Saccharomyces cerevisiae S288C: one gene and its partners. The gene in region 2 interacts genetically with the main gene of each other region. Each region holds a gene or a part of one and is shown on either strand. Other genes may lie near its edges. The genes, in order: INA17, SEC53 and KHA1.

Region 1 (3,057 bases), on a different chromosome or scaffold from region 2:
GACTTCTTTAGCCAATAAAGTTTGGCCATAACGTAGACTGGGTGATTTGATATGCGTTTCCACAATTTTTTTGATTTCACTTGAGTTTAAAAACGTAAAGATCTTCAAGAACTTGGGTACATCAGCATCCAAAGTATTATAAAAGAACTGGTAAACATCATACGCCGTATTGATTGAGGGGTCAATAAAAACAGCATTGCCTGCACTTTTCCCAAATTTCTCTCCTGTAGCCGTCGTCAACAAGGGCACAGTGATACCAAATGGCAAACCCTTATTCTTTATAGGCTGTATCCTATTGATGAGATCGATACCGGCTGTTATATTTCCCCATTGGTCGTTACCACCTACTTGTATAGTCACATTCTCTTCCTTATACAAATGGTAAAAATCGTACGCTTGTAAAACTTGGTAAGTAAATTCGTTAAATCCCAGACCATTTTTGGTTTGAAGCCTCGAAGAAATTGAATCCCTCGCCAACATAGATTGTACCCGAATGTGCCTACCAAAATCAGCTAAGAAATCCAACATTTTGATGTCTTTCCACCAGTTGAAATTATTCCTTGGTGTATATTTTCCGGAAGGTACATCTTCAGTGAGAGCACATCGGTTTCTGTAATATTCTAGGCCATTTTTGAAAAACCTTTGTAATTGCTGCGAGATGGATGCCACATTGCTTTGCCTAATATCGTTCTCCATAACGTCTCTTTCTGTTTTCCTACCACTTGGGTCCCCAACTTTCCCTGTAGCTCCACCTATCACAGTGACAATGTCGTGACCTTTTACGTAAAAGTGTAATAAAACCATTAGTGGAACTAGATTTCCCAAATGAAGTGACTGAGCTGTGGGATCCACCCCGCAGTATAATTTGATCTTATCGTTACCGTTCAACTTCGTCCGAAGGAAACTCTCTGGCTGTGAGACCTGGGACACTAGACCCCTTTGTTTGAGTTCGTCTAAAATATTATCGCTTCGAGAATCCGATGTGCCCTGTACTTCTAAAGCACTAGGCTGTGAATAAAATCGAGATTTAGGCAATGTTATTGCACTTAGTCCGGAATAAGTCACCAGAGGCACAAGTCTCCTACTACTATTGACCAAATTACTACAACTTCGTAATTCGAGCATGATTCACAATGTCTACCTGTAGATTGCTGTGTTCAATCGGAAACTGGAAATTCTTTCTTAACATTATGAGCCAACCACTTTTTATTTTCTTTTCAAAACTCCCGAACAAGACCAACATTACCAAACAGACTCCACTACTTTTCCATAAGAAGGAAGCACAGAACACCACACAAGATCATATAGCACAAATAGCGCAACAGCTTCAAGTCCAATATTAAGATATAATGCCTCCTCTTCCACAAAATTATGCGCAACAGCAGCCTTCGAATTGGGACAAATTCAAAATGGGGTTGATGATGGGTACTACCGTCGGTGTCTGCACAGGCATCCTATTTGGTGGATTTGCCATCGCAACTCAAGGCCCAGGTCCTGATGGTGTAGTTAGAACACTAGGGAAATACATTGCTGGTTCAGCGGGTACCTTTGGGCTATTTATGTCCATCGGGTCTATAATCAGAAGTGATAGTGAAAGTAGTCCAATGTCCCATCCTAACCTGAACCTACAGCAACAGGCAAGACTGGAAATGTGGAAGCTTCGTGCCAAATACGGTATACGTAAGGACTGAGGGGGAAATTTTGCATATATTTACGCTTCCCCATCGTTTTCTTAAACATTGTTACTTATCTGCTTATTTTTATTTAAGATATCTATCTACCTGTTTATAACTCTCTCAATACCATGTATTTAAGTTCATCACGACGAGGCTTATTTACTTAATATATTTGTATACGTGGGAAATGTCTAATATGTATACCGGTTTGCATCTTATTTTGGGTGGGGTCACTAACGGCAAGACTCATAAAATAAAGTATTCGCTAAGCACTCTGTTATATTTGTAAACTTTGAGAAAGGAAATGGGAACCAAAGCATATAATAGACAATATGTTAAAAAGACGCTCTAATGCTCTCATTACTTTGAGTAGAACTAAATTGTTTCCCATAACAACCGTTGCCTATTACCACAGGCGCCTCCTCAACCAACAACGAAGAGCTGTTTCAACGTCACCGAAGAAAGAAATCAAGAGCCTAGAAGACTTGGCTAATTTGGATTCTTTGGATGGTGTTGATACTGAACTGATACGCGATTTGATTAATGAGCATACTACAAAATTAAATATCAAAAAGGAGTTAGATATGCTCAAAAAATTCTCGCAAGAGGAAGAATCAGGACATGAGATCCCTGTAAAAAGATTTATTAGGCCTCTTTGGATGTTCATTCTAATGGGATCTTCCGTTTATTTACTGCTTCACTTCTCTTGGTGGAAACTAGAGCATGAGGAGAGAGAAAGTCAGCTAAAGAAAGAGGTAGAAATCCTGGAACACCAATTAAATGAGTTAATTGTACAGGATAAAACCCACAATACTAGTAGGGGAAAGGGCAGTAATGAATCAACACATATGAAGCCTTGGTATAGGAGATGGTTTTGGTGAGAATTAGTTATCTTGTTGGCTTTTCGTGTTTCTAGAATGTACCATTGCCTATGTAAATATTTTCAAATTGCTTGTTTTGAAGATTTCTACCCTCTTTAGCAATTCACACGTGAATACGTACAATATCTATTAAGATTATGAAAACTGCACATATGCATTATGTAAATTTATTATTTTTAGTCAGCACACATTCACCAGGTTTTGACGGAATACTATATATACTGAAGGTTCCATCATCAGAGGCAATATAGACTTGGTTGGGAAATTCGTCTGGAAACCCTAAGCAACTCCTGTTCGATTCATTAACTGTTATATAAGCAAAGTTACGGCTCAGGTTCTGGTTTGGTATTGAAGATTTTATTTTTTTCGAGAAGTAATTCGCAATTCTTGGTTTCGAGAGAGGTATTTCCTTTGGAGTTCCCATACTGGGATTTGAATTTGATGCTAGTATATATTCCTCTTCATTCCAGTGGCCATTGCTAGAATTATCTCCAGGGAGG
Region 2 (3,085 bases):
CTTTTGGGTGGAATGGACTGGTTCCAGTTGGATCAAAGGTATGGTTGAAAATGGATGCAAGAATGGTCAATTGGAGGCTGCGCAATTAATGGAGCGTATTCTTTCCAAGTTCATCAAGAACAATGTCGAAGAGTGCCAAATTACTATCAGCAAGGAGGAAGAGGAGCAAGATGATAAAGAAGTAAAAAATAAGTTGAAAGAGGTTGACCTTGAACAACCAAGAGAAGCGGTTGTTACGGCTCCCGCAATTGCAGAGCAGCAAGGTCTCAAGGTCACCATGGAAACATGGTTGTTCTTATACTTGATTGTGGTCGTTTTGCTATTGTTTAATCTGTTCTACATACGTTCAATTGCTGTCTCATTACATCAACTGGTGAAGCTGCAATTGGTAGAACTGAAGTTGTGATCTGTATTTTCTTCGTACCAATATATATCGTTTCTATAGGGCAATGGTAGTAACTAATAGTAAAGGGCGAAATAAGCCGATTTCAGTGGCAAATAACAACTTTTTCCTTTGAAAACAAGATAACATTGAAGAAGATAACCAAGAGAAGAAACTTTCAAGATGAAACTGAAAGTTACTGGAGCAGGAATCAACCAAGTCGTTACTTTGAAGCAAGATGCAACACTAAATGATCTTATTGAGCATATCAATGTAGATGTTAAGACGATGAGGTTTGGATATCCGCCTCAAAGGATCAATTTGCAAGGGGAAGACGCTTCTTTGGGACAAACCCAGCTGGACGAGCTGGGTATTAACTCTGGTGAAAAGATTACAATAGAGTCCTCTGATAGTAACGAAAGCTTCAGTTTGCCACCACCACAACCCAAACCAAAGAGGGTGCTGAAGAGCACTGAGATGTCAATTGGTGGCAGTGGAGAAAACGTCCTATCAGTACATCCTGTTCTCGACGACAACTCGTGTCTGTTCCATGCTATTGCCTATGGCATCTTCAAACAAGATAGCGTTCGTGACCTCAGGGAGATGGTCTCTAAGGAGGTCCTCAACAACCCCGTCAAGTTCAATGACGCCATATTGGACAAACCTAACAAAGATTACGCGCAATGGATTTTGAAAATGGAATCTTGGGGTGGAGCCATCGAGATTGGTATCATATCCGATGCACTCGCAGTAGCTATTTATGTAGTCGACATTGACGCTGTTAAAATCGAAAAGTTCAACGAGGACAAGTTCGACAACTACATTTTGATACTGTTCAACGGAATCCACTATGATTCCTTGACCATGAACGAGTTTAAAACTGTTTTCAACAAGAACCAGCCGGAATCAGATGATGTTCTAACAGCAGCTTTGCAACTGGCCTCAAATTTGAAGCAAACTGGCTATTCCTTCAACACTCATAAGGCCCAGATCAAATGCAACACTTGCCAAATGACCTTTGTGGGTGAAAGAGAAGTTGCTAGGCACGCTGAATCCACGGGACACGTTGATTTTGGCCAAAATAGATAATAAAATACGCATTTGGCGTTTATCGGTATACTCGTCATGAGACACGAAAAGTGGATAAAATGCATTCCTTTTGTCGTTGATGAAAAAAAAATTTGAAATATATTAAAATGTGCCGTTTTTTACGTGTTCTTTTCACTTATTTTTCTGTTTATATCGTCTATTCTTCTTGGCAAAGTATAAGATCTTTGACGAAAACTAAATCGACAATTTCCTTAGTACTTCTTTCTCCTTTTTTACCTATCTGCTAATATAACCACCAATAATGAGTATCGCTGAATTCGCTTACAAGGAAAAACCAGAAACTTTGGTTTTATTCGATGTTGATGGTACCTTGACACCAGCCAGATTAACTGTTTCTGAAGAAGTTAGAAAAACTTTGGCCAAGTTGAGAAACAAGTGCTGCATTGGTTTTGTCGGTGGTTCTGACTTAAGCAAGCAATTAGAACAGTTAGGCCCAAACGTTTTAGATGAATTTGACTATTCTTTCTCTGAAAATGGTTTGACCGCCTACAGATTAGGTAAGGAATTAGCTTCTCAATCCTTCATCAACTGGCTCGGTGAGGAAAAATACAATAAATTGGCCGTCTTCATTTTGAGATATCTATCTGAAATTGACTTGCCAAAGAGAAGAGGTACTTTCTTGGAATTTAGAAATGGTATGATCAACGTTTCCCCAATTGGTAGAAATGCTTCTACTGAGGAAAGAAACGAATTCGAAAGATACGATAAGGAACACCAAATCAGAGCCAAGTTCGTTGAAGCTTTGAAAAAGGAATTCCCAGACTACGGTTTGACTTTCTCCATTGGTGGCCAAATCTCTTTCGACGTTTTCCCCGCTGGTTGGGATAAGACCTACTGTTTGCAACACGTTGAAAAAGATGGTTTCAAGGAAATTCATTTCTTTGGTGACAAGACTATGGTCGGTGGTAACGATTACGAAATTTTTGTCGATGAAAGAACCATCGGACATTCAGTACAATCCCCTGATGACACCGTCAAAATTTTGACTGAACTATTCAACTTATAGCTTTATTTCCAGGTTGCTACGTGATTATGCCATTTGTGATCCGTTTGGTGATTCTTTTTTATCCTTCTTATATAAATAAATATACTCTTACTACGTTATTGAATGTGTACTCTTACTGAACTGTGTTATACAAAACGTAAATGCAATTTTCAAGTACCAAGTCTAGCCCTTTTTCCTCGCTTGTCGCCACTATGTTAATAACCTCATATATGCTAATACAAGTGCAAATGTACCTGTACAGACACCTATCAGCCATTGCATGACTTGAGTCTTGACAGAATCAATCTGCATCTTCATATTGGTCACTTCTTGCTCAATTTTGGTGTCGATTTCTTTTATTTGCAGATCGTGATGACTACTTTCTTCCCTAATTCTGCCTTTTTCTAAGGACAGATCAAGTTTGAAACCGGCGTTTGTTTTGGTAATTTCTTCCCTTAGTTTGTTTCTTAGTTTCTCCAGATCGTTTTTCACACTTTCGTACTCGTTTTGAATATTGTGAAATTCACTTCTATCAGCACTCAATAGCTGATCTCTTAACTTTGCAAAATCAACACGTTGTTGATAGCTAAGTTGGGTCAATTTTTCTC
Region 3 (3,763 bases), on a different chromosome or scaffold from region 2:
AGTTCTGGTCTATATTTGGTATGCACCATTATTTTAACAATACATTTTATTGGATATAAATTAGGAAAATATCCTCCAACGTTCAACCTTTTGCCCAATGAAAGAAGTATCATGGCATACACTGTACTATTGTCTTTATGGTTGATTTGGGGTGCGGGTATGTTTAGCGGTTTATTGCACATCACTTACGGAAATGCATTATATTTCTGCACGGTATCATTATTAACCGTGGGACTAGGTGACATCCTGCCCAAGTCGGTTGGCGCCAAAATCATGGTTTTAATCTTTTCGCTATCTGGTGTTGTCTTGATGGGTTTAATAGTGTTTATGACAAGATCCATCATTCAAAAGTCCTCTGGCCCAATTTTCTTTTTCCACAGAGTTGAAAAAGGCAGGTCCAAATCGTGGAAACATTATATGGATAGTAGTAAAAATTTATCTGAAAGGGAAGCGTTCGACTTAATGAAGTGTATCCGACAAACGGCCTCAAGGAAGCAGCATTGGTTTTCTTTGTCGGTGACTATTGCAATTTTCATGGCTTTTTGGTTATTGGGAGCTCTTGTATTCAAATTCGCAGAAAATTGGTCGTACTTCAATTGTATTTACTTTTGTTTCTTGTGCTTATTAACCATTGGATACGGAGACTATGCTCCAAGGACTGGTGCAGGCCGTGCTTTTTTTGTGATTTGGGCGTTGGGAGCCGTGCCATTAATGGGGGCTATCCTATCTACAGTCGGTGATCTGTTGTTTGACATTTCCACTTCTCTGGATATTAAGATCGGTGAATCATTCAATAATAAAGTCAAGTCCATCGTTTTTAATGGGCGTCAAAGAGCACTTTCCTTTATGGTGAACACTGGAGAAATTTTCGAAGAATCTGACACAGCTGATGGTGATCTGGAAGAAAATACAACGAGCTCACAATCCAGTCAAATTTCTGAATTCAACGATAATAATTCAGAAGAGAATGATTCTGGAGTGACATCCCCTCCTGCAAGCCTGCAAGAATCATTTTCTTCATTATCAAAAGCATCTAGCCCAGAGGGAATACTTCCTCTAGAATATGTTTCTTCTGCTGAATATGCACTACAGGACTCGGGGACCTGTAATTTAAGGAACTTGCAAGAGCTACTTAAAGCCGTCAAAAAACTACATCGGATATGTCTGGCGGATAAAGATTACACACTTAGTTTTTCCGACTGGTCGTACATTCATAAACTACATTTGAGGAACATTACAGATATTGAGGAGTACACACGCGGACCCGAATTTTGGATATCACCTGATACGCCCCTCAAGTTCCCGTTAAATGAACCTCATTTTGCTTTTATGATGCTTTTCAAGAACATAGAAGAATTAGTTGGTAATCTAGTAGAAGACGAAGAGCTTTATAAAGTTATAAGCAAAAGAAAATTTTTGGGTGAGCATAGAAAGACACTTTGATATACAAACACCCGAAGCATTGATTTATATCTTACTGTAGACTACTACGGATGTATTCTCTAAATATTTATATTCAGCATCTCAAAATAAATACTGAAAGCATTTTTCTGCTGTAAATGCGCTTTCAATATTATGCACCCGTTGCGTCTCGCATTAATGTGGCTGAGCTCCAGTAAGGGAAAATAAAAAACAAAAACTGTTCGCTTATTATATCATCTCTTGTTGCTAAAGCACACATCAAATGATACCAACGATTATTATTATTACGAAGTTGTATTATTTATATTCTATCAAATGGCAAACACTGTAGGAGGAATTCTGTCGGGTGTAAATCCGTTCCACTACAACTCCAGTTCGCCGCTTACATTATTTCTCTTTCAAGCATGTCTCATACTACTGGTATGCAATTTAATTCACATTCCCTTTTCAATGATGAGGCAGCCTAAAGTCATTTCAGAAGTTATATCTGGTGTTATTTTGGGGCCTACTATATTTGGTCAAATTCCAAACTATACAAACACAATTTTCCCTACATCATCGATCCCGGGGCTAAATTTAGTGGCGAATTTGGGAATAATACTGTTTATGTTTTTTTTAGGTTTAGAAGTGGATATTGCTTTCATCAAGAAACACCTAAAGAAAGCACTCGTGATAGGTATAGTCACTTTAGCAGTGCCATTCGGTTTTGGTTGTCTGCTGGCGATTCCTTTATTTCACACTTATGCAAACAAAACAGAAGGCGAAAGGCATATTAAATTCTCTGTCTTCATGGTATTTATAGCTGTTTCCATCTCCGTTACGGCTTTTCCAGTTTTATGTCGTATTTTAAATGAATTGCGCTTGATCAAGGATAGAGCAGGTATCGTTGTCCTTGCGGCGGGTATCATTAACGATATAATGGGATGGATTTTGTTAGCATTAAGTATTATTCTTTCTAGTGCAGAAGGGAGCCCTGTCAATACCGTTTATATTCTGCTTATCACGTTTGCATGGTTTTTGATTTATTTCTTTCCCTTAAAATACCTATTAAGATGGGTGCTCATAAGGACCCATGAATTGGACAGAAGCAAGCCTTCACCGTTGGCAACGATGTGCATTCTATTCATCATGTTCATTTCTGCTTATTTTACGGATATTATTGGAGTTCATCCTATTTTTGGCGCCTTCATTGCTGGCTTAGTAGTTCCTAGAGATGATCACTACGTTGTTAAATTAACAGAAAGGATGGAAGATATTCCTAACATTGTTTTCATTCCAATCTACTTTGCTGTTGCAGGATTAAATGTCGATTTGACTCTATTAAATGAGGGAAGAGATTGGGGCTATGTTTTCGCCACAATCGGCATCGCCATTTTCACCAAAATTATTTCAGGTACTCTTACAGCTAAACTTACTGGCTTATTTTGGAGAGAAGCCACTGCAGCCGGTGTTTTGATGTCATGCAAAGGTATCGTTGAAATCGTTGTCTTAACTGTTGGTTTGAATGCGGGCATTATCAGTAGAAAAATATTTGGTATGTTTGTGTTGATGGCATTAGTTTCTACTTTTGTCACTACTCCTCTGACTCAGCTTGTTTACCCAGATTCATACCGGGATGGTGTTCGCAAATCCTTATCTACACCTGCAGAAGATGATGGTGCAGCAGATGGTCTCGATTCTGAGGGTGTGGACAAGACTGAAATTAACACTCAACTTAATTCATTGGCAGATGTTAGCAAATATAGAATTGGTGAACTGACCACGGTGATAAACACTACAGAAGCGATCTCTCCATCTCTAAAGCTGCTAAATTACCTGTCTTTAGGGGTATCTCCCAAGCCTAAGAATAATAAACATAAGAACGAAACCTCCTTGAGCAGAATGACAACAGCTACTGATTCCACATTGAAATCTAACACATTCAAAATAAAAAAGATGGTTCATATCTGGTCTAAAAGCGTTGACGATGTGGATACCAATTTAAGTGTTATAGATGAAAAATTGACCCCGTTTGAGGGAGTCGGTGCATTGAGGGCCATTCATTTACGATTGCTCACTGAACGGACAACTGATCTGCTGCAATCATCTTCTCTATATAATGATGATCCCCACTTTACCGCAAATACAGATTCACTATTACAAATTTTTGATATATTTTCAAACCTGAGCAAAATACCATTTTCAAGTGAAGTCATATTTTCTACAATGCGTGAAAAGGCAGCTAATATAGCGACGATGAAAATGGATTCCACAGATCTGATCTTATTGCCATTAAAAGGGGCCTCGTATGAGTATAGAGGGAGCCCAGTCTTCATTGATGAAAAATACGCAAACTTTGATC

The links.
Region 1: mutations in SEC53 (region 2) and INA17 together harm fitness more than expected from each alone (negative genetic interaction), as found in Saccharomyces cerevisiae (one large-scale study listed by BioGRID).
Region 3: mutations in SEC53 (region 2) and KHA1 together harm fitness more than expected from each alone (negative genetic interaction), as found in Saccharomyces cerevisiae (2 studies listed by BioGRID).

The regions. Positions count from the first base shown.
Region 1 is NC_001148.4:363,020-366,076, reverse strand, and holds INA17 (Ina17p), read left to right. Parts: upstream 1-2,008; coding exon 2,009-2,557; downstream 2,558-3,057. Other genes in the region: tyrosine--tRNA ligase MSY1, read right to left, coding at 1-1,125; MGR2 (Mgr2p), read left to right, coding at 1,350-1,691; ATG21 (Atg21p), read right to left, coding at 2,715-3,057. UniProt on the Saccharomyces cerevisiae protein: Component of the INA complex (INAC) that promotes the biogenesis of mitochondrial F(1)F(0)-ATP synthase. INAC facilitates the assembly of the peripheral stalk and promotes the assembly of the catalytic F(1)-domain with the membrane-embedded F(0)-domain.
Region 2 is NC_001138.5:43,041-46,125, reverse strand, and holds SEC53 (phosphomannomutase SEC53), read left to right. Parts: upstream 1-1,733; coding exon 1,734-2,498; downstream 2,499-3,085. Other genes in the region: LAM5 (Lam5p), read left to right, coding at 1-406; ubiquitin-specific protease OTU1, read left to right, coding at 566-1,471; FMP32 (Fmp32p), read right to left, coding at 2,688-3,085. UniProt on the Saccharomyces cerevisiae protein: Involved in the synthesis of the GDP-mannose and dolichol-phosphate-mannose required for a number of critical mannosyl transfer reactions such as folding and glycosylation of secretory proteins in the ER lumen.
Region 3 is NC_001142.9:252,417-256,179, reverse strand, and holds the start of KHA1 (Kha1p), read left to right. Parts: upstream 1-1,737; coding exon 1,738-3,763. Other genes in the region: TOK1 (Tok1p), read left to right, coding at 1-1,443. UniProt on the Saccharomyces cerevisiae protein: Potassium-proton antiport.